Linked DNA regions of Astyanax mexicanus. Each later gene encodes a partner of the first gene's protein in a complex. Links are inferred from orthologs where the notes say so. Each region holds a gene or a part of one and is shown in the gene's direction. Other genes may lie near its edges.

Region 1 (9,060 bases):
AGAGAGTTATCGTTCAGTTGTTGTGGAGTTTTTGTTCACAGCTATTGTGAAGGATTTATTGTTCTGAGATTGTACAGTTATTTTTCACAGATATTGTGAAGGATTTATTGCTCAGAGTTATTGTTACTGATATAAATAAAGTTTCATTTAGTGCGCCTTATAATCCAGTGCGCCTTGTGTATGGACTAACACTAAAAATAGACTGTTCACTCATCGTGCGCCTTATTATACGGTGCGCCTTATAGTCCGAAAAATACGGTATTCTCTTCATCATATTTAAAAGCCTTCAGACTTAACACATTATATTTTCAATAAGTTTAATTGACATTTTCATTACTTTTTATTTACAGTCATGCATGCATCCACCCTGTTACAGTAGTTACTCTCTGATTTTAGCGAAAATTGGTATTTAATGGAAACATGTTTAAGCTAAAGTTACAGACATATAGATTTATTCATGATTGTTCTTATTCTGTTTCATAGATACATTTAGATTTTCTACACATATTCAATTACTGGGATATTTTACAGTGACATGGTGGACAACTTAAAAGTTTTTATTTATTTATTTATTATTATTTTTTAAATAGTTAAATAAATGTATAAAATGCAGAATTCTTTTAAATTATTATTAAAATGTAAAAGGTTGTTTAAAGTAAAGATGAACATTCCTTTATATGCGTAATAATGTGTTTATTTAGAGGAAATGTAAAAACATTTCTGTTACACAGAGTTTGTATAAAATTTAGACAAATATCAGAGATTAGGTAAATTGGAGAAATTGGTGTGTGAATGTGTACAGCGACTCAGTGCTGCATTCAGTCCTCCAGGTGGACGGTGGTTTCCGGTTGAGAGTATGCTTTGCGTGATTGGCTGCTGCTTCTCACCAGTGTTTGTGTGTGGAATGCAACTTTTTAATCGTCCTTAAGTAACAAAAAAGGCTTTATATAAGTGTAAAAGTAAGTAAATATGCTGCAACTCAAAATTCACCTTATAATAGTGTATTAATATATTAATTTTAACTCACATATGTTTAATCTTCTTTTGCAGCATCTTTTCAATTCCGCTGCGTTTAAAGCTCGGACTAAACTACGGAACAAAGTGAGGGACAAACGAGCGGACGTGATGTGATGAAGATGGGTGACCTGAAGATGAAGATGATGATAACGATGATGAGGATGATGTAAAGGATGGAGAGATACAGGGAACGAGAGGAACACTACACCCCTCCTATCAGCTCACTTGAAATGATTAAACAGCGACTGCCAAACCAGGGACTTGACAATGCAAGTGTGTGTGTGTGTGTGTGTGTGTGTGTGTGTGTGTGTGTGTGTGTACGTGTCAAGATGAGTGAATGTGTGTGTGTGTGTGTGTGTGTGTGTCTCAGTTTTATTTAACAATACTGGATAAAATAATAACCTAAAAATCCTAATAATGAATTTAGCAGTAAGCAGCATTTTCCTTTACCGTGTAAACTGCGTTACTACAGGTGGCCACTGGGGGCAGTATTTGTTACGTTTGCCTTACGGCCAGCAGGGGGCAGATATGCTTATGGCCTACGATGCATATCTTGAATTTTAAAATCATTTTTTAATCTCACTTTTCTCCTCAATTTAGCTATTCTACCGAGCTCTTACCTGCTCAGCTGTATATCCCCCCCTATCACTAGTGATGCTCCAACACCAGGAGGGTGAAGAAGACCAGCACACGCCTCCTCCGATACATGTGAAGTCAGACTCCGCCTCTTTTTGAACTTTTTTTTTTTGAACACTTGGAGGAAAGCGCAGTGACTCGGTTCTGATACATCAGCTCACAGACGCAGCCTCGTGCTGATCCACATCACCCTAGGAGTGATGAAGGGAAAGAGAGAGCGCCATCTACTGTACTGTACCCACCCAGAGAGAAACAGCAAGGACAACTGTGCTCTCTCAGGGCTCCGGCAGCTGATGGACAGTAGGTTGCGTTGTTTTTCCATCAGTAGCTGGAGTCTGAGAGAGAGAGTACAGTAGGTCATGCTGTTTTTCAGCATTAGCAGCATGTATTGGGTTGGTTTGAGAAGAAAATAAAAAACTAAAAGGAAAATAAATAAATAAAAACAGAAATGGAAAATGCTGCTTATTGCTCCTTTAAACACAGTTTAATATTCTGCATTTATGACGCGCTCTCGTATGGCTGTGTTCTGCTTTTCTGTTATTGTATCTTACTTTCTAATTTATTGAGAGTTTTTGGGAAAACAGAAAAGACTTTTTAACATTAAGAGCCGTAAACACATCAACAGAGCGGGAAACGGCCGAGGAATAGAAATGAATTTCTAGTTTTTCTATCTATATTTTATACACAGGCTGACCGTGCATCTCCTCTTTAACATAAAAAATACAAATGCTTGAATATTTGTAGGAAGATTATAATTATATAAACATAAATGTCTTTTTTTTCCTTTTACTGCAAACAACCTTTTCTAAACTTCCGAAAAATTCCCACAGCAGGTGAAAGCTGCTCAAATCTGATTTTTCTCACCAAATCTGATGTTAATTTACTTTAGATTTACGTTCAGTTTGATGGTTTGATGGTTTGTGATCATCCATCTTCCTCTTGATTATATTCCAGAGGTTTTTAATTTGGTAAAATCAAAGAAACTCATCATTTTTAAGTGTTCTTTTTTTTTTTTTTTTTTACAGAGCTTTATATATATACCTTCTAATTTACAGTATTACAGTATTGTGGTTCTGTTATTTCAGTATTTAACAACTGAAACCCTCACTCACTGCGATCATCCATTTTTCATGCATTAATTCTGATCTGGATGTTCAGACTGAGTCGCGTTGCTGTAATTCAGATTTCAGTAACACTTGTTGAAGTGGCTTAAATTTTAAATATCGATTATATAGATTCAATCTTAAGTTTTTGCTGTTACACATCAATAACACACCTGTATCACATGACCAAAAATATCAGATTTTTATCATTTTCTCCTGCTGTGTGAATCGAGCCTTTCCCTTTTCCAAATCCTGAAAACGTCCGGTCTGGTGTTGCATGATTGGATTAGGTCAACCTGAATGGATCCTGCATTTAAATCCATTCAGAATATTATCAGATTACGCACAGTATCAGATATCGACTGAAAAAGAGAGAGAGATTCAGTGTTGTGTTGAGTAGTATTACGTTTTTAAGGGAAAACTTCATCCCTTATCAGACTGTTTCTATTTTCTACACCCCGTTACCCGTCACAGGTCTGATTACAGCAGTAAATAACAAAACAAAACAAAAAAACAGTGCATTTACATGCCCTTCATAATCTGATTACTGTAGAACATCGGTATTAGAGTTCGTCAGTTATCATATTAATGCAGTTACATAAATTTGTGTAATCAGATATTACTAATTACTAAGCTAAAATACATGTTTATCAGATTTAGTAATCCGATTTTGAAACCTTACTTTTATCTAAAAAAAAAAAATCTGAATACTGAATTAAAAAGCTGCTCTCTTAATCAGATTTTTCCACTTCCAAGTCTGATCTTAAAAAAATCTGATTATTGAGCTAAAATCCATCTCTCTATCAGATGTTTATACCTTAGTCAGAAAAATCCCAGAATACTCTAGTTAAGAGTTCACATTCACTGAAAAAAATCTGATTACTGAGCTCAAATCCAAATCTCTTTATCAGATGTATTAATCAGATTTTATATGTTACCCTGAAAAATATGAGCAATCTGATTTCTGATCTAAAATCCAGCTCTCTTCATCAGATGTTGTCATTCTTAATTGGATTTTTAGAGCTTTTTAGATGTAAGGAAATGTATAATGCTTTTCATAATTACTACATAAATTATTAAAGACAGTAATCTGATTATGAACAGATTGTTTTGATGTGTTTGTAAACACACAAAGTGATTCAAGCCAGTTAATAATAGGATCCAGTGATGGGCGGAGCTAAAGCAGCTGTTACTTTATTGGTTTCTATAATAAAAGTCCTTTGAGGCGAGTTTATTTTCAGGCCTTTTGTGAGTAAAATAGTAAATCAGTTTCTGTCTGTGGTGATGGACGTTTAATATACAGATCAGACTGAAACGATTAGAAGTTTTCCTTTAAGATAATAAAGTCTGGCCCTGTATTTTATAAAAGCTGATCTATAAACAGTGTGGATAGGATCGATCTGCTATCTACCCTTTCTCCCTCACAGCAAGTTTCAGAATCTGAACCGAAGCCCAAATATGTATTAAATGTTTTATTATCCCCAGAACATAAAGGGATAATTAAACAGTTTTGCAGGAAATGTTAGTTTTTTCCTTGGATAGATGGAATATAGATAAAATGAGAATTATGTGAATGCTGAAATATTGAATTATCCCTTTAACTGTGTGAGATGTAAACACTTCTGCACCCAGAGGGTTAAACATCAATTATGGCTTTCAATAAAAAATATACAAATATTTTATTTCATTTTGTGTCTCTTTGTTATTTGATTTATTTTAACCACAAATTACCTAATATCTTCTATACCATATATAAAAATAAGTTAATAGTTTAGTGCTATAAATATACATGAGGTAACTTTCTGAAAATAATCATTTTGAGAATAATCCACACAAACAAAATTGAATATGGGCTTAAAATATCAGGGTTTTTAAAGATAAAAATATTTTGCTTATTTATGAGTATGCTACTGTCTATGGCTGGCCGATATGATGGTATGATATGATATTTGAGGGTATTTTTGAGATAATATTCTTGGCAAAATATTTTATTATAAATAATTTATGATTTTTGATTTCAACAATATACTCCTGCAACTAAATAAACATTAAATTTTTAGTTTGTAAAAACAACAAAAAAATTAATGTTTGTTTTGTGATCAACAATAACTTACCAGCTCTCTGATTTTGTATAAAATAATAAATGTAAAATTACAAAATAAATAATGTTACATAAAAACAATGTAATGTAACAATAAATCTACAACAGAACTTAAGCTCCTAATATTTGGTGCTGCATTTAAACTACAAAATAACTTTAATATTAAACTGCTTTCGAGAAAAATACATCTATTATCGCTCTATAAGAACTGCAGTGCCGCTGGGGGTGTAGTGTAGTTACACTGCAGTGCCGCTGGGGGCGCTACTCGGTACTCTGCGCTGTTTGGTTGTTTGTACTACAGACCGGTACCGGAGAGCGGGAGCAGCGGGAGCAGCATGCCGCCTCGGACGCCGCGCGCGGGGAAACCCAAACTGTTTAAAGTGCGGATATCCGGACGGGCTGAGAAATTCGGAGTAGCCGCGTTTACACTGAAGGAGCTGATCCAGAAGGGAAGCGAATTATTTAAGGTAAGTTAGAATAAAACAACCGCTTTGTTCTGTTCTGCTTTACTTCCGGTGCCCTGTCTGTTTGAGTTAGCCTGCCGAATCCCGCTACCATAGTGTAGATCAGCAGTACTCGGTAAAACTCACTGTTTATACGATAAAACTAAATAACTCGTGTAAAAACAGAGCCAGTTCTGTTATATCGTGAGCGTGTAATAACCCCCCGAGATAATGAGAAGCTCTGAATGTTTGTTAACTAACTAATTTACCCCTTGTTTAGTTCGGACGGAGTCATGTTTCTGCATTAACAGGTCTAACGTTATATTGTTGTTGTCGAATGAAAAACAAGTTTCTCATTTGTGTGGATTTTTAGTTTACTACATAATTTAAACAGAGAAACTGCCCCTTTCTGAACTAAACCAAAAATGAGCTGAAATAAACTCTTTTTACATTGACTTCCATTGAAAGTTTAGAAGATTTTTATCTCTCTCCTGTAAAGCTGCTGTTTTAAATATACTTTTTTATTAGACAGCGATAATATCAACTTTATTTATTACTAGCTCTGCTAAAGTTTCTTAGATAAAGCAGCACAGACTGAACACATTATATCAGATGTTCCCAACAGAAATACAGGGTAAAGATTACGTTTTTGAGATAATCGCTTATAAAACCACTTATGTTTTATAACACTCACAAATACAGTAACAGCAAGTTTAGACTGTGTAAAATACCAGAGAAAACCCGTATTTACCTAAAGGAAAAAAAACTTAAACTGTGAATCAAACACACATGGGTCAGCGCATGCGCAGTGTCCGTAGGTGTCATATAAGGACGGGTAGCGCAACTCGACGGAACACCTGGTTCCGCTCTCAGTGCTGCTGCTCAGAAACGTTTCACTTTTCCTTCCTTTTTTACCGTTTTGTTTGTTTCATTTCTTGATTTGATTGATTGACTGTTTAAGTGCCTGATTGATTTATTGTCTGGCTGATTGATTTTTTTTATTAGCTGTTTTACTGGCTGATTGACTGTTTGATTGATTAATTGTCCGGTTGATTGGTTAATTAATTGGTTGACCGTTTAATTGGCTGTTTGGCTGATTGTTTAATTTGTTTAATTGATTGTTTGAGTGATTAATTGATTGATTGTGTGTTATTAGGTCTCTGGCTGTAAGCAGAAGCTGCAGTGTTGTCTGTATGAGGACGGGACGCGGATAACGGAGGATTATTTTCAGTATGTTCCGGAGAACACTGAGGTCCTGCTGATCTCTGAGGGTCAGAGCCGGAGCGGCTGTGAGTCTCTGTTTAAATAATATCTAAATAATAGCATAAAAAAATCATAAATTCTACTTAAAACATAATTAAATATATAATTTTGCGTTTTGACAAAATAATAAACAATAGGCAGGTTTTCCCCACGGGCTGGGGTAATATTACCAAAATCTCAAATTCCCATTATCTTGATGTTTAATCTAGGGATGTGCAGTGATGGATTTATCAGTATTTATTATTTTTAGTGGGTGATAATTTTTTTTTTATTATAATAATTATTATTTATGATATAAAATCAATGGTTTCTAACAATTTCTAGATATATGAAACTGATACTTGTTGAAGTATTATTTGTATGGTGAAAAAAGAAGACGCTGACCACGGAAGGTTTTATTTAATATTATTTGTTTCAATAGAACTGTTGTTTTATTTAAGCTGTTAATTTAATAAAAAATGGTAAACTGTGAAGAGTATGTAAGTTAGATGTTAAATAAATAAATAGATGCTACAGATAATTTCTCAGGAGAAAACTTTAATTGTATTGTTTGTATACAGGAGGATAAAAACTAATGTTATTTGTTTTTAAAATTTTGTCTCTGATCTCTAGCGCCGATAACGTGAAGTAATATTTCTTGCGTAATGATCTTAATGTATTGTGTGATGACAGATGCCAAATTTTTGCCTGAAATGAACTGTTTTGTGATAAATATAGATAATCCAGAATGTTTCAGTGTGTCAAAAGGGAATTTTTACTTTGACATTTTTTCCCCCCTAATCTTTCAATAAATTAGATTAGTAGGATCTTCTGTCAGATATGCACTTTTTATTCTCTTTTTTTTCATTCTTCTAAAACAGATTTTTATCTTTTCTATGAATTTTTGATATTAATCTCTTATGAATCTCCTCCCCGCAGTGCTGTATGATATCAGGCAGGTTCTGGGTTCAGACCGTCACTCAGACGAGCTCATCAGCGCGGCGAAGCGTCTGCTGACGGACGACGGCGAGGAGCTTCCAGCTAAGAGGAGGAAACTGCTGGGAGATCTGCTGAACAACCTGACGGACAGCGCCGAGCTGGAGAACCGCACCCAGGACCAGGACTGGTTTCAGGGTAATAATAAATAATCAGTTAAAGTTACAGCAGTGATTATAAAAGTGTTTAGAGGACGATAAAACTGCAGTATAGGAAAATAGAAGAGATGAACCCATTCATCAGTCAATTCAGAGTTTTTTCCTTATTTTAAAATGTTCTGTATTGTATATTAAAGCAGAACTCTGGTGTAAAATGTACTTTTATTGCAGTAAAACATGATAAAAATTCTTATCTTTGATGAATAGCACACCTCCGCTCTCCCACAGCGTTCAGAGATCCAGAAATTTTAAGTGTATCCAACAAACACCCTTCAGACTGGGAGATACGGGGCATAATTTACCCTGATAAATCACTTTTTACACCGTTATCCAGCTCAAAGTAGCTCCACATCTCCTTACTAGAATCCAAAAGGAGAGTCCTGATATTTAAAATGAGGCATTAATAACTTAAAAAGTGCTTAAAAAGAAGTTTATTAAAAAACACTGTTTACATCCTATAACTCCTATAGCTTCAGCTCCGAGCGCCGCCATCACTGTACTGATAATAACATAGACATATAAATACATAGACTTCACATAGTGCAGCAGCTGGCACCAGGAGTCATGGTAATCAGTGGTTATTTCTCTAATAAACTGATCCTGCAAACTTACCAGATCATATTTGGGCAATTTTATACAGCAGTTTTGTATGAGGATCACTGTAGGAACTTAATTATGTGTTTTGTGGATAAAAAGGAATTAAGACTTTAACGCCATTAACCGGATATCCCTCTCCAGAGTGCATCTTTCTGCTCACACATGGAGTAGCTATTAGCCCAGCAACTCAGCAGCACTAAAAACTCATATTTCATATTCAAAGGCACTGAAAATGATTTTCTAGCTGACCTGCTTATAAAAACAAAACAAAAAAAATGTTTTTCACCACAAATAGTTAAAAATCTGGCTCTTGTTTTATACTCTCTCTCTCTCTCTCATCTTTAAAATAAAAGACTCACAGCCATGGATGGATGTTAGCTTATTTTATTTTTTTAACACCAGTATTATAGAAATAATAATTTAATTATTTCCATTGAAGAAAATCACTTCATTATGAATCTCTTATTTTTCAGGTATTGATTCGAGGTTTAAGACTAAATCTGCGTATATGAGATTTAACTGTGAACAGAGGATACGAGGCTACCTGAAGGAGGTAGGATTCATTTTCATTAATATATTAGATTTTTTAATATTAGTCAAACAAACTAAATGATAATTACTAAATGTTATCAGTATCCTGCATCAGTGGAACACTAAAATACTTCGCTATTGTAACATTATTATCTTTACATGGTGTAAGGAATATATATATATATATATATATATATATATATATATATATATATATATTTAATTGTATTTTATTT
Region 2 (9,458 bases), on another chromosome or scaffold:
AGGTAAGTAATGGGGTTGGTAGTTAGGTAAAAAGGTAGGTAGGTATTTAAATAGGTAAGTAGGTAATGGGGTTGGTAGTTAGGTGAAGAAGTAGGTAGGTAGTTAAATAGGTAGGTAGGTAATGGGGTTGATGGTTAAGTAAAAAGGTAGGTAAGTAGTTAAATAGATAGGTAGGTAATGGGGTTGGTACTTAGGTAAACAGGTAGGTAGGTAGGTATGTAGGCTGGTAGTTAAATAGGTAGGTAGGTAGGTAATATGTTAGTAGTTGGGTTAACAGGTATGTAGATTGTTAAAGAGGTAGGTAAAGAGGTAGGTAGGTAGTTAAAAATGTAGTTAGGTCATGAAGTTGGTAATTAGGAAAACAGGTAGGAAGGTAGTTAAAGAAGTAGGCAAAGAGGTAGGTAGGTAATGGGGTTGGTAGTTCAGTAAAGAGGTAGGAAAGTAGTTAAATAGGTAGGTAGGTAATGGGGTTGTAGTTAGGTAAAGAGGTTGGAAGGTAGTTAAATGGGTAGGTAGATAATGGGGTTGGTAGTTTTGGTAAAAAAGGTAGGTAGTTAAATAGGTATGTAGGTAATGGGGTTGGTAGTTAAGTAAAAAGGTAGGTAGGTAGTTAAAAATGTATGTAAAGAGGTAGGTAATTGGGTTGGTAGTTAGGTAAAATGTAGGTAGGTAGTTAAAAATGTAGGTAAAGAGGTAGGTAGGTAATGGGGTTTGTAGTTAGGTAAAAAGGTAGGTAGTTAAAAATGTAGGTAAAAAGGTAGGTAGGTAATGAGGTTGGTGGTTAGGTAAAAAGGTAGGTAGGTAGTTAAAAATGTAGGTAAAGAGGTAGGTAGGTAAGTATCAGGTTGGTAGTTAGGTAAACAGGTAGAAAGATAGTTAAAGGGGTTGGTAAAGAGGTAGGTAGGTAATGGGGTTGGTAGTTTGGTAAAAAGGTAGGTAGGTACTTAAATAGGTAGGTAGGTAATGGGGTTGGTAGTTAGGTAAAAAGGTAGGTAGGTAGTTAAAGAGGTAGGTAGGTAGGTAATGGGGTTGGTAGTTAGGTAAACATGTAGGAAGGTAGTTAAAGAGGTAGGTAGGTAATTGGGTTGATGGCTAGGTAAAAAGGTATGTAAGTAGTTAAATAGGTAAGTAGCTAATGGGGTTGGTAGTTAGGTAAAGAGATAGGAAGGTAGTTAAATATGTAGGTAGGTAATAGGGTTGTAGTTTGGTAAAAATGTAGGTAAGTAGTTAAATAGGTAGGTATGTAATGGGGTTGGTAGTTAGGTAAAAAGGTAGTTAGGTAGTTAAAGAAGTAGGTAGGTAGGTAATGGGGTTGGTAGTTAGGTAAACAGGTAGGAAGGTAGTTAAAGTGGTATGTAAAGAGGTAGGTAGGTAATGGGGTTGGTAGTTAGGTAAAAAGGTAGGTAGTTAAATAGGTAGGTAGGTAATAGGGTCGGTAGTTAGGTAAACAGGTAGGAACGTAGAAAAAGAGGTAGGTACGTAGATAATGGGGTTGGAGGTTAGGTAAAAAGCTAGGAAGGGAGTTAAAGAGGTAGGTAGGTAATGGGGTTGGTAGTTTGGTAAAAATGTAGGTAAGTAGTTAAATAAGTAGGTAGGTAACGGGGTTGGTAGTTAGGTAAGAAGGTAGGTAGGTCTTTAAATAGGTAAGTAGGTAATGGGGTTGGTAGTGAGGTAAAGAGGTAGGTAGGTAGTTAAAAAGGTAGGTAGGTAATGGGGTTGGTAGTTAGGTTAAAAAGGTAGGTAGTTAAATAGGTAGGTAGGTAATGGGGTTGGTAGTTAGGTAAAAAGGTAGAAAGCTAGTAAAAGAGGTAGGTAGATAATGGGGTTGGTATTTTTGGTAAAAAGGTAGGTAGGTAGTTAAATAGGTAGGTAGGTAATGGGGTTGTTAATTAGGTATAAATGTAGGTAGGTAGTTAAATAGGAGGGTAGGTAATGGGGTTGGTAGTTAGGTAAAAAGGTAGGTAGGTAGTTAAATAGGAGGGTAGGTAATGGGGTTGGTAGTTAGGTAAAAAGGTAGGTAGGTAGTTAAATAGGTAGGTAGGTAATGGGGTTGGTAGTTAGGTTAAAAAGGTAGGTAGTTAAATAGGTAGGTAGGTAATAGGGTTGGTAGTTAGGTAAACAGGTAGGAACGTAGTAAAAGAGGTAGGTAGGTAGGTAATGGGGTTGGTAGTTAGGTAAACAGGTAGGAACGTAGTAAAAGAGGTAGGTAGGTAATGGGGTTGGTAGTAAGGTAAAAAGGTAGGTAGGTAGTTAAATAGGTAGTTAATCAGGTTTGTAGTTAGGTAAATAGGTAGAAAGGTAGGTAAAGAGGTAGGTATGTAGGTAATGGAGTTGGAGGTTAGGTAAAAAGCTAGAAAGGGAGTTAAAGAGGTAGGTAGGTTGGTAGTTCGGTAAAGAAGTAGGAAGGTAGTTAAATAGGTAGGTAGGTAATGGGGTTGGTAGTTATGTAAAAAGGTAGGTAAGTTGTTAAATAGGTAGGAAGGTAATGGGGTTGGTAGTTAGGTTAAAAAGGTAGGTAGTTAAATAGGTAGGTAGGTAATAGGGTTGGTAGTTAGGTAAACAGGTAGGAATGTAGTAAAAGAGGTAGGTATGTAGGTAATGGAGTTGGAGGTTAGGTAAAAAGCTAGGAAGGGAGTTAAAGAGTTAGGTAGTTAAAGATGTAGGTAGGTAGTTAAGAGGTAGGTAGGTAGGTAGTTTAAGAGGTAGATAGTTAAAGAGCTAGGTAAATAGGAAGGTAGGTTGGTAGGTAGGTAGTTCAAGAGGTATGTAGGTAAAAGGGGTTGGTAGTTAATTAAAAAGGTAGGTAGGTAGTTAAATAGGTAGGTAGGTAATGGGGTTGGTAGTTATATAAAAAGGTAGGTAGTTAGTCAAATAGGTAGGTAGGTAAAGAGGTTGGTAGTTAGATAAAAATATAGGATAAGTATTTGAAGAGGTAGGTAGGTAAAGGGGTTGTAGGTAGGTAAAAAGGTAGGTAGTTAAAGAAGTAGGTAGTTAAAGAGGTAGGTAAAGAGGTAGGTAGGTAATGGGGTTGGTAGTTAGGTAAAAATGTAGGTAGGTATTCATGGAAGTAGGTAGTTAAATAGGTAGATAGGGAATGGGGTTGGTAGTTAAGTAAAAAGGTAGGTAGGTAGTTAAATAGGTAGGTAGGGAATGGGGTTGGTAGTTGGGTAAACAGGTAGGTAGTTAAAGAGGTAGGTAGTTAGGCAAATAGATAGGTAGGTAATGGGGTTGTAGTTAGATAAAAAGGTAGGTAGTTAGTCAAATAGGTAGGTAGGTAGGTAAAGGGGTTGGTAGTTAGCTAAACAGGTAGGTAGGTAGTTAAAGAGGTAGGTAAATAGGTAGGTAGGTAATGGGGTTGGTAGTTAGATAAAAAGGTAAGTAGATAGTTAAATAGGTAGGTAGGTAAAGGGGTTGGTAGTTAGATAAAAAAGGTAGGTAGGTAGTTAAAGAAGTGCCTACCTGATGTCCCATGTGAAGAGCTTGCTACATAGTGATTAGTGATTATTGTGTGGGTAAAGGGAAGGTTAGGTGTTTAATGTTATATTAGTTGTAATTTAGTCATGGATTTAATTATGATTGAGTGGGAGAGTAAAGTACTTGTGTAGAGTTGAGGTCTTGTGTATAACCCCCCAGTTGTTCGATGTTATATTATGTGAGCTTGCTAGACTGTGAGGGTGATGTTTAATTGGATTATGACTTTTTTCTGACAGAGGGAATAGTGGCCTGGTCTGCTGAGAACAGTGGGGTACCGGTGCAAATTATTAGATTTACAGATTTAGGTGAACATTTTGCTTGTGGTCTCTTGCTCTTTGTCTTTGTCTCTCCTGTTCTTTGTTTTCTACAGGAATCCTGGTTTTTCCCTCCTGTATATTAGTGTTCTATTAGATCTTCTAGAGTGGAATCTTGGTCCCTGATCTGGGTCTTTAAAAAAATGTATAGTCCATAACACCACTGTCTCTCAACCTTAATATTCTTATTAAATAAACATAATAAACATTTTGTGTCGGCATTATTTAACCAAGTACTTCAATAGAGGTCTCCATACCTTAGTATCATTCTTACATCCCTATAAAGATTGCATTTCATGTTGTGGGAAAGGAAAAGTAAAAAAAAAAAAAAAAAAAAAAAAAGATTTTGTGTAGATCACCGGATAACTAAGACCCTATAAATATTACTACTGTTCCATCATTCAGTCATGATTAACTTCAACAACACCATGCTGGATAAATATATCCTGCAGTTTGGATCATGGCAAGATTTGTAGATCTAATATTATGAGTGAATAAAAAGGTACTTAATGCATGACAAAAAAAAAAACTAAAATGGATGGAATAGATACAACTTTAACAATGGGGATTTTTTTTACAGCAATTTTCTTTTACCAACATGATGGTAAAGTACAGTCTGTCCTATCGTTAGAGAGTCCTATACAGCACTGCATCACATTTTATACACTTTAAAACAATGTCTAGTTGGTGTGGCCTAAGATGTGCTTCATAACAGAACCATTTTTGACTGGAAGGACAACAAGGGTCACTCACAGATGGCCACTAATTAAGATTAAGACATTATTAAAATATCTTGATCTAAGGCACATCATCATAATTTGTTGCAAGAAGGGGTACTCTAGCTTGATCTCCATCACTTTTTTATCGTAAGAAGGGCAGCCTCTCTGTCTCTCTTTTTCTCTCGCTCTCTACCTTTTTTTTCTCTGTCTCTCGCTCTCTCTCTCTCTTTTTCTCCGTCGCTCTCTCGGACTGTCTCTCTCTTTTTCTCGCTCTCTCTCTCTCTCTCTCGAGCCCCATTACAACATTCCATCTCAAAAAACAAAACATTATTATAATTAAGTTAAATTTTGATTATGAAGTTGATAATGGTAAGGCTATACAGAATGCCCGTTTGTAGACTTTTACAAATACATGTTATAGCTGTTTAAAGGAGGAAGCACCTTTAACCTAAAAAAAAAGAATTATTTTATTTGTTATATCAAAGAAAAAACCCAAAATACATATTAGAGATGATTTCAATAAAAAGGATAAAAAATCAGTTGAACTACACAGAGCAGACAAAAATGGTGGAGTTAATAATAGATAATAATAGTTAATATGCTGATGATACATTATGCTTCTCTGTAACCCCACATACATAAATTACAAGTTGGTTGTGCTCTGCTAATTATGAGGGGCCTGTCTAAACCAAAAATGCCAGGGCCGATTTTTTTGTCCCAGTCCAGCCCTGTTTCTTACTGATCTGAAATTAAGTGAAGTAAAGAGTGAACAAGCAAATTATTTAAGTGTTTAATGTTTTTAGAATGTAAATAAATTGTACAACAGAGAAAATTGGTTCTGTATCACCTACACTTGTAGCCTGTGCATGGGCCAAGGCCTGTTAAAGGGGTTAAACTGAATTAAATTCTGAAAAGTAGAAATGTGCACAGCCTTGTAACCTACGGCTGTAGTAAGGCTGTAGTGCCTGTAGGGGGTGATATTCTGCACCACTGTGCTCCAATCAATTCCAAAGAAGAAGAGCTGAAACGAAAACAAAACAGCAGCTATCTGTCACAGTGTGGACTACGGTCTGATGTTAATGGATATATTAACACTTTAAACACACAGCTGAGGATAACCCTGATAAAAACAAAAAGCTAATATGTCTGTAAGACCCTGTAAAGTGTGTAACTACAGCCGGCAGAGGTGTGTAGGGGTGGCAGTGTCCTCTCTGGATCAGCTGAAGATAAAGGGTGAGTTAGTTTCGCCTCGTTTAGCAGTTGAATTTTATATTTAAACTGCTCCCAAACTTTAGATCAGGCTAAAGATTGCCTTTTTTATTCCATATATCCGTTCCACCTTAAAAAAAAGTGCAGTAGTTTAGTTAAGCTACATTCTGAATTTGAAGAATGGGGAAGAAGCAGTTAAACATTGCAACTGCAGCACTTTTTTAAGGTGCAATAGAAAATTCCAAGATTTCTTTTACCCTAAATAACTAAATATTCTGTGTAAAATAAAGCTTGAATTTCTTTCTAGAGATGATTAAAGAGTAGACTTTCTCAGGTAAACTCATTATTTACTTCATTATACTTGATTATAGCTAAGTATCTCTTAGTATTTGATTATTAGTATTTGATTATTTCTGTTCAATACAAAGTACGGAGCCCCAAAGATCAGATCACGTAAAAAATATATATATATATAATAATGCGTGGCCACGACACTGAGAAATATAAAATACTGAGAGATATCTAGCTAATGAAGTATCATAAGGTAAAAAAAAATTACATGAGGAAGCCTGCGCTTTATTCTACTCTAGAATAAAACCCAAGCTTAATTTTACACAGAACATTTTAGTTATTTTACTGCAAAAGACTCCAAAATATCCCCATAATTAATTCCAAGATGAAAATAAAAAGAAACCAATTCACTCTTTTCTTACTAAAGATTATCCTTGGATTAGAGCTTTGATGTAATGTTCAGTTTCTTCATGGAAATTAATTTACAGGAAAGCAAGTTTTATTATTCTCTTATTATCTCATTCCCACATCTTAAGTCGTGCCTATGACTAAATCATCTTGTTCCCATTCATTAGGATCACTTTTCCACGTCTAAATAATTTAATTAAGGCGTGAAAATGAGATCCTAAGGCATGGGAATGAGATAATTAAGTCGTAACCAGAAAATAACAATACAACTTTTTTTTCTGTAAATTGTATTTTTATTTTGGAATTAATTATGGCGATATTTTTGAGTCTCTTGTGGTGAGACATGGCGTAATTCTAATTAAAAGACACTTTATTCTCATTCTAAAAGCTTATGGGCTCAGACACAGACAGTATGCAGTATCCATTTACCTTATATCTCATTAATAAGTTGTAGCCACTCATTATTATTATTATTATTATTATTATTATTATTATTATTGTTATTTTTTTACATTATGTTACCTTAGGGGCACCTTAAGAAAGGACAGAAAGTGAAAACAACAAAATCACACTGAAGAGCTTGTAAAACCACTCTTCTCCTACTCTTCTTCTTGTTTTCTTTCCAGTTCTTTTCCCTTCTTTTATTTTTCTTTGTTTATGGCTATATTTTAAACTGATTAAGTACTGACCAATGTAAACAGCTATATGTAGGCCCCTCACAATAATTACATTATCAACTCATCAAGAAAACAATATATAAACTAAGTTTGAACATAATGTTACCCTCTGTTTTTACTTGAGTGTAAAAAAAACACTCAAGTAAAATGTATTAACATGAACAATCTGGATTTTTATGTAAAATATACAGTATCAGTCAAAAGTTTGGACACACCTTATAATTCAATGTTTTTCTTTTTTATTTATTTTCTACATTGTAGATTAATATTAAAGACAATTAAAACAATTAAAGGACACATAGGGAATTACTTAGAAAATAAAAATCCCAAATGAGGTAGTTATTTGGGATGAGCTTTGGGAAAAGCAGCAACTATTGTTGAGCACCTCTAGGAACTCCTTCAAGATGCTGAGAAAACTATTTCAGGTGACTCTTCCTTAATGAAGACACTGAGATTAAAATACCAAAGAGTGTGCAGGTCTGTCCTCAAAGCTACATGTGGTATATTGCATATGTTTATTGTATAGCTTTAATATCTTAAATATTAAATTTACAATAGAATGGAAGAAAACACATTAAATGAGAAAAGGTGTGTCAAAAGTTTTAACAGGTGCTGTATGTTTAATATTTTTGTATTCCAATTCCAAAGTTAGAATTATCTTAATCATCAAATATTTTTGCTTTTTAAAAATATTTAATTGCATTTTATGCTATTGTTATTATTATTATTATTATTGTTATTATTATCATTATTATTGACCTAAATCAGTGGCATACAATCATTTCAGAAAGAAAATTACTTTAATATTGTTTACCTGCAGATATTTTTATGAAAATGTAGTAGCATATAAAAGTTATCTGCATGAAAATGTTTGAGCACCCCTGTCAAATTAGATGATTTGCTCATTAGCTCATTGCTATTCTATTAGCATTTAAAACAACTCTTTATAAACTTTTTCATAAAAAAAACAATTGATGCAAGATTCGAGGGTTGGGCCCTTAAGCAAGACCTTTAATCTTTCCTTCTTCAGCACAAGTATGGAGAATATGGTTGTCTTATCTGAGCTTTAATACTTAAATTAATATCATTTTTTTATTCCTCCTGTAGGCAGTGAAACACTGGAATTTAAGCCTGATTCCTCAGTATCAGTGGTGCTGGAAGATGATGGCACTTTTGTGAAAGATGAGACCTACTTCTTGTGTCTGCCCCCAAACACCAAATTCATGTTGTTATGTACTGGTGAGGTGTGGACCCCTGCTAGAAGATGTAAGCTTATATTTGCAGGAAAGCATTTCCTCTGTAAATGAATGTAATCTCAGATCCTGATCAGCTGTGTTGTTCTCTGTAGATGACGGAGGCACAGCATGGCTCAGATCAGAGACTGTCGAGATGGAGACAGACGCAGTGGACAGTGGGATGGACAATGGTGTGGAACCCTGGCGTACGGTAGCAGACAAACTCAAACAGAACCTGGCCAACATCATTCTCATGTCCGAGGCAGACCTACAGGTCAGTTTAAGCAGAACCTTCAGATTCTGATCATGTGGACATATCATACTTTACACTTTCAGTTCCTGTAAATCTACTTCACAGAGTTAAAGAAATAGCCATAACAGCATTTGTGGCTTAAAATTGTGATTGTTCATTTAAGATTTTTTAAATTCTAGAAGACATACCATCAAATCACAATGCAGTTTTTTAGCCCACCACATTTGATTTAGGAGAAAAGAGAGGAAAGAAAATATAAAGTTTGATTAAACTAAGTTAGATTGGTTTTAAAATTACAAAGAACATTCACAATGTATCGTTTTAGAAGAACACTGTAGTGTTATATAAAATTATGGTTTTGGTATAAATGATTTGCTGTTCAGCTAAATAAGTAAAAAAAAAAAAAAAATAAAAGATTAAAAGTTTATTTTTTATTTTGCTTGCTTAACATCCATCTTAAAATCTGTTTGTTGATTTATTTAATTGCAAATCCTGCAAGGTAAATAATTAACAATTAACAGTTTTTTATTCAGAAGCATAATGAAGTTGCTTTAAAAAAGGTCTAGCATTTAAATAAATAAATGATTAATGATTAAATAATATTATTGTAATTTACCACAGGTCAAACATGTACAAAACAGACAGTATGAAGTCTTTATATACCAGCCCAGTTTTAAATAGGGATAGAGATGAGTTAACTGATAACTATCCTATCTGGTCTTCTATAAATAATAAAATCTTAGTTAGGTAAGATTCTCTGTTATTTAAAACTAGTGAATATTTTTTTTGTAAATTATAAACTCATGTATTTTGTTTGGTAGCTACTTTTTAAAAATACTTTTTAAATTGTTTAACTTTTCCTTTAAAACTTTGCTGTC

Evidence for each region.
Region 2: the proteins of dffb (region 1) and dffa are in contact, whole or in part, in an NMR structure (PDB 1F2R), measured with the Mus musculus proteins. The link is inferred for Astyanax mexicanus from reciprocal best matches to the Homo sapiens genes DFFB and DFFA. Residues at the interface, in NP_031885.3 of Mus musculus: Cys10, Lys12, Arg14, Ala19, Cys20, Lys21, Phe22, Gly23, Val24, Ala25, Ala26, Arg39; in NP_001020467.1 of Mus musculus: Asp66, Thr68, Ile69, Val70, Asp71, Asp72, Asp74, Tyr75, Trp94, Tyr96, Asp100.

Annotation. Positions count from the first base shown.
Region 1 is NC_064419.1:50,210,545-50,219,604, forward strand, and holds the start of dffb (DNA fragmentation factor subunit beta), read left to right. Parts: upstream 1-5,141; 5' UTR 5,142-5,192; coding exon 5,193-5,324; intron 5,325-6,456; coding exon 6,457-6,589; intron 6,590-7,481; coding exon 7,482-7,676; intron 7,677-8,766; coding exon 8,767-8,846; intron 8,847-9,060. Other genes in the region: ifrd2 (interferon-related developmental regulator 2), read left to right, coding at 1,051-1,131. UniProt on the Homo sapiens protein: Nuclease that induces DNA fragmentation and chromatin condensation during apoptosis. Degrades naked DNA and induces apoptotic morphology.
Region 2 is NC_064420.1:41,388,275-41,397,732, forward strand, and holds the start of dffa (DNA fragmentation factor subunit alpha), read left to right. Parts: upstream 1-5,508; 5' UTR 5,509-5,649; coding exon 5,650-5,740; intron 5,741-8,199; coding exon 8,200-8,358; intron 8,359-8,440; coding exon 8,441-8,601; intron 8,602-9,458. UniProt on the Homo sapiens protein: Inhibitor of the caspase-activated DNase (DFF40).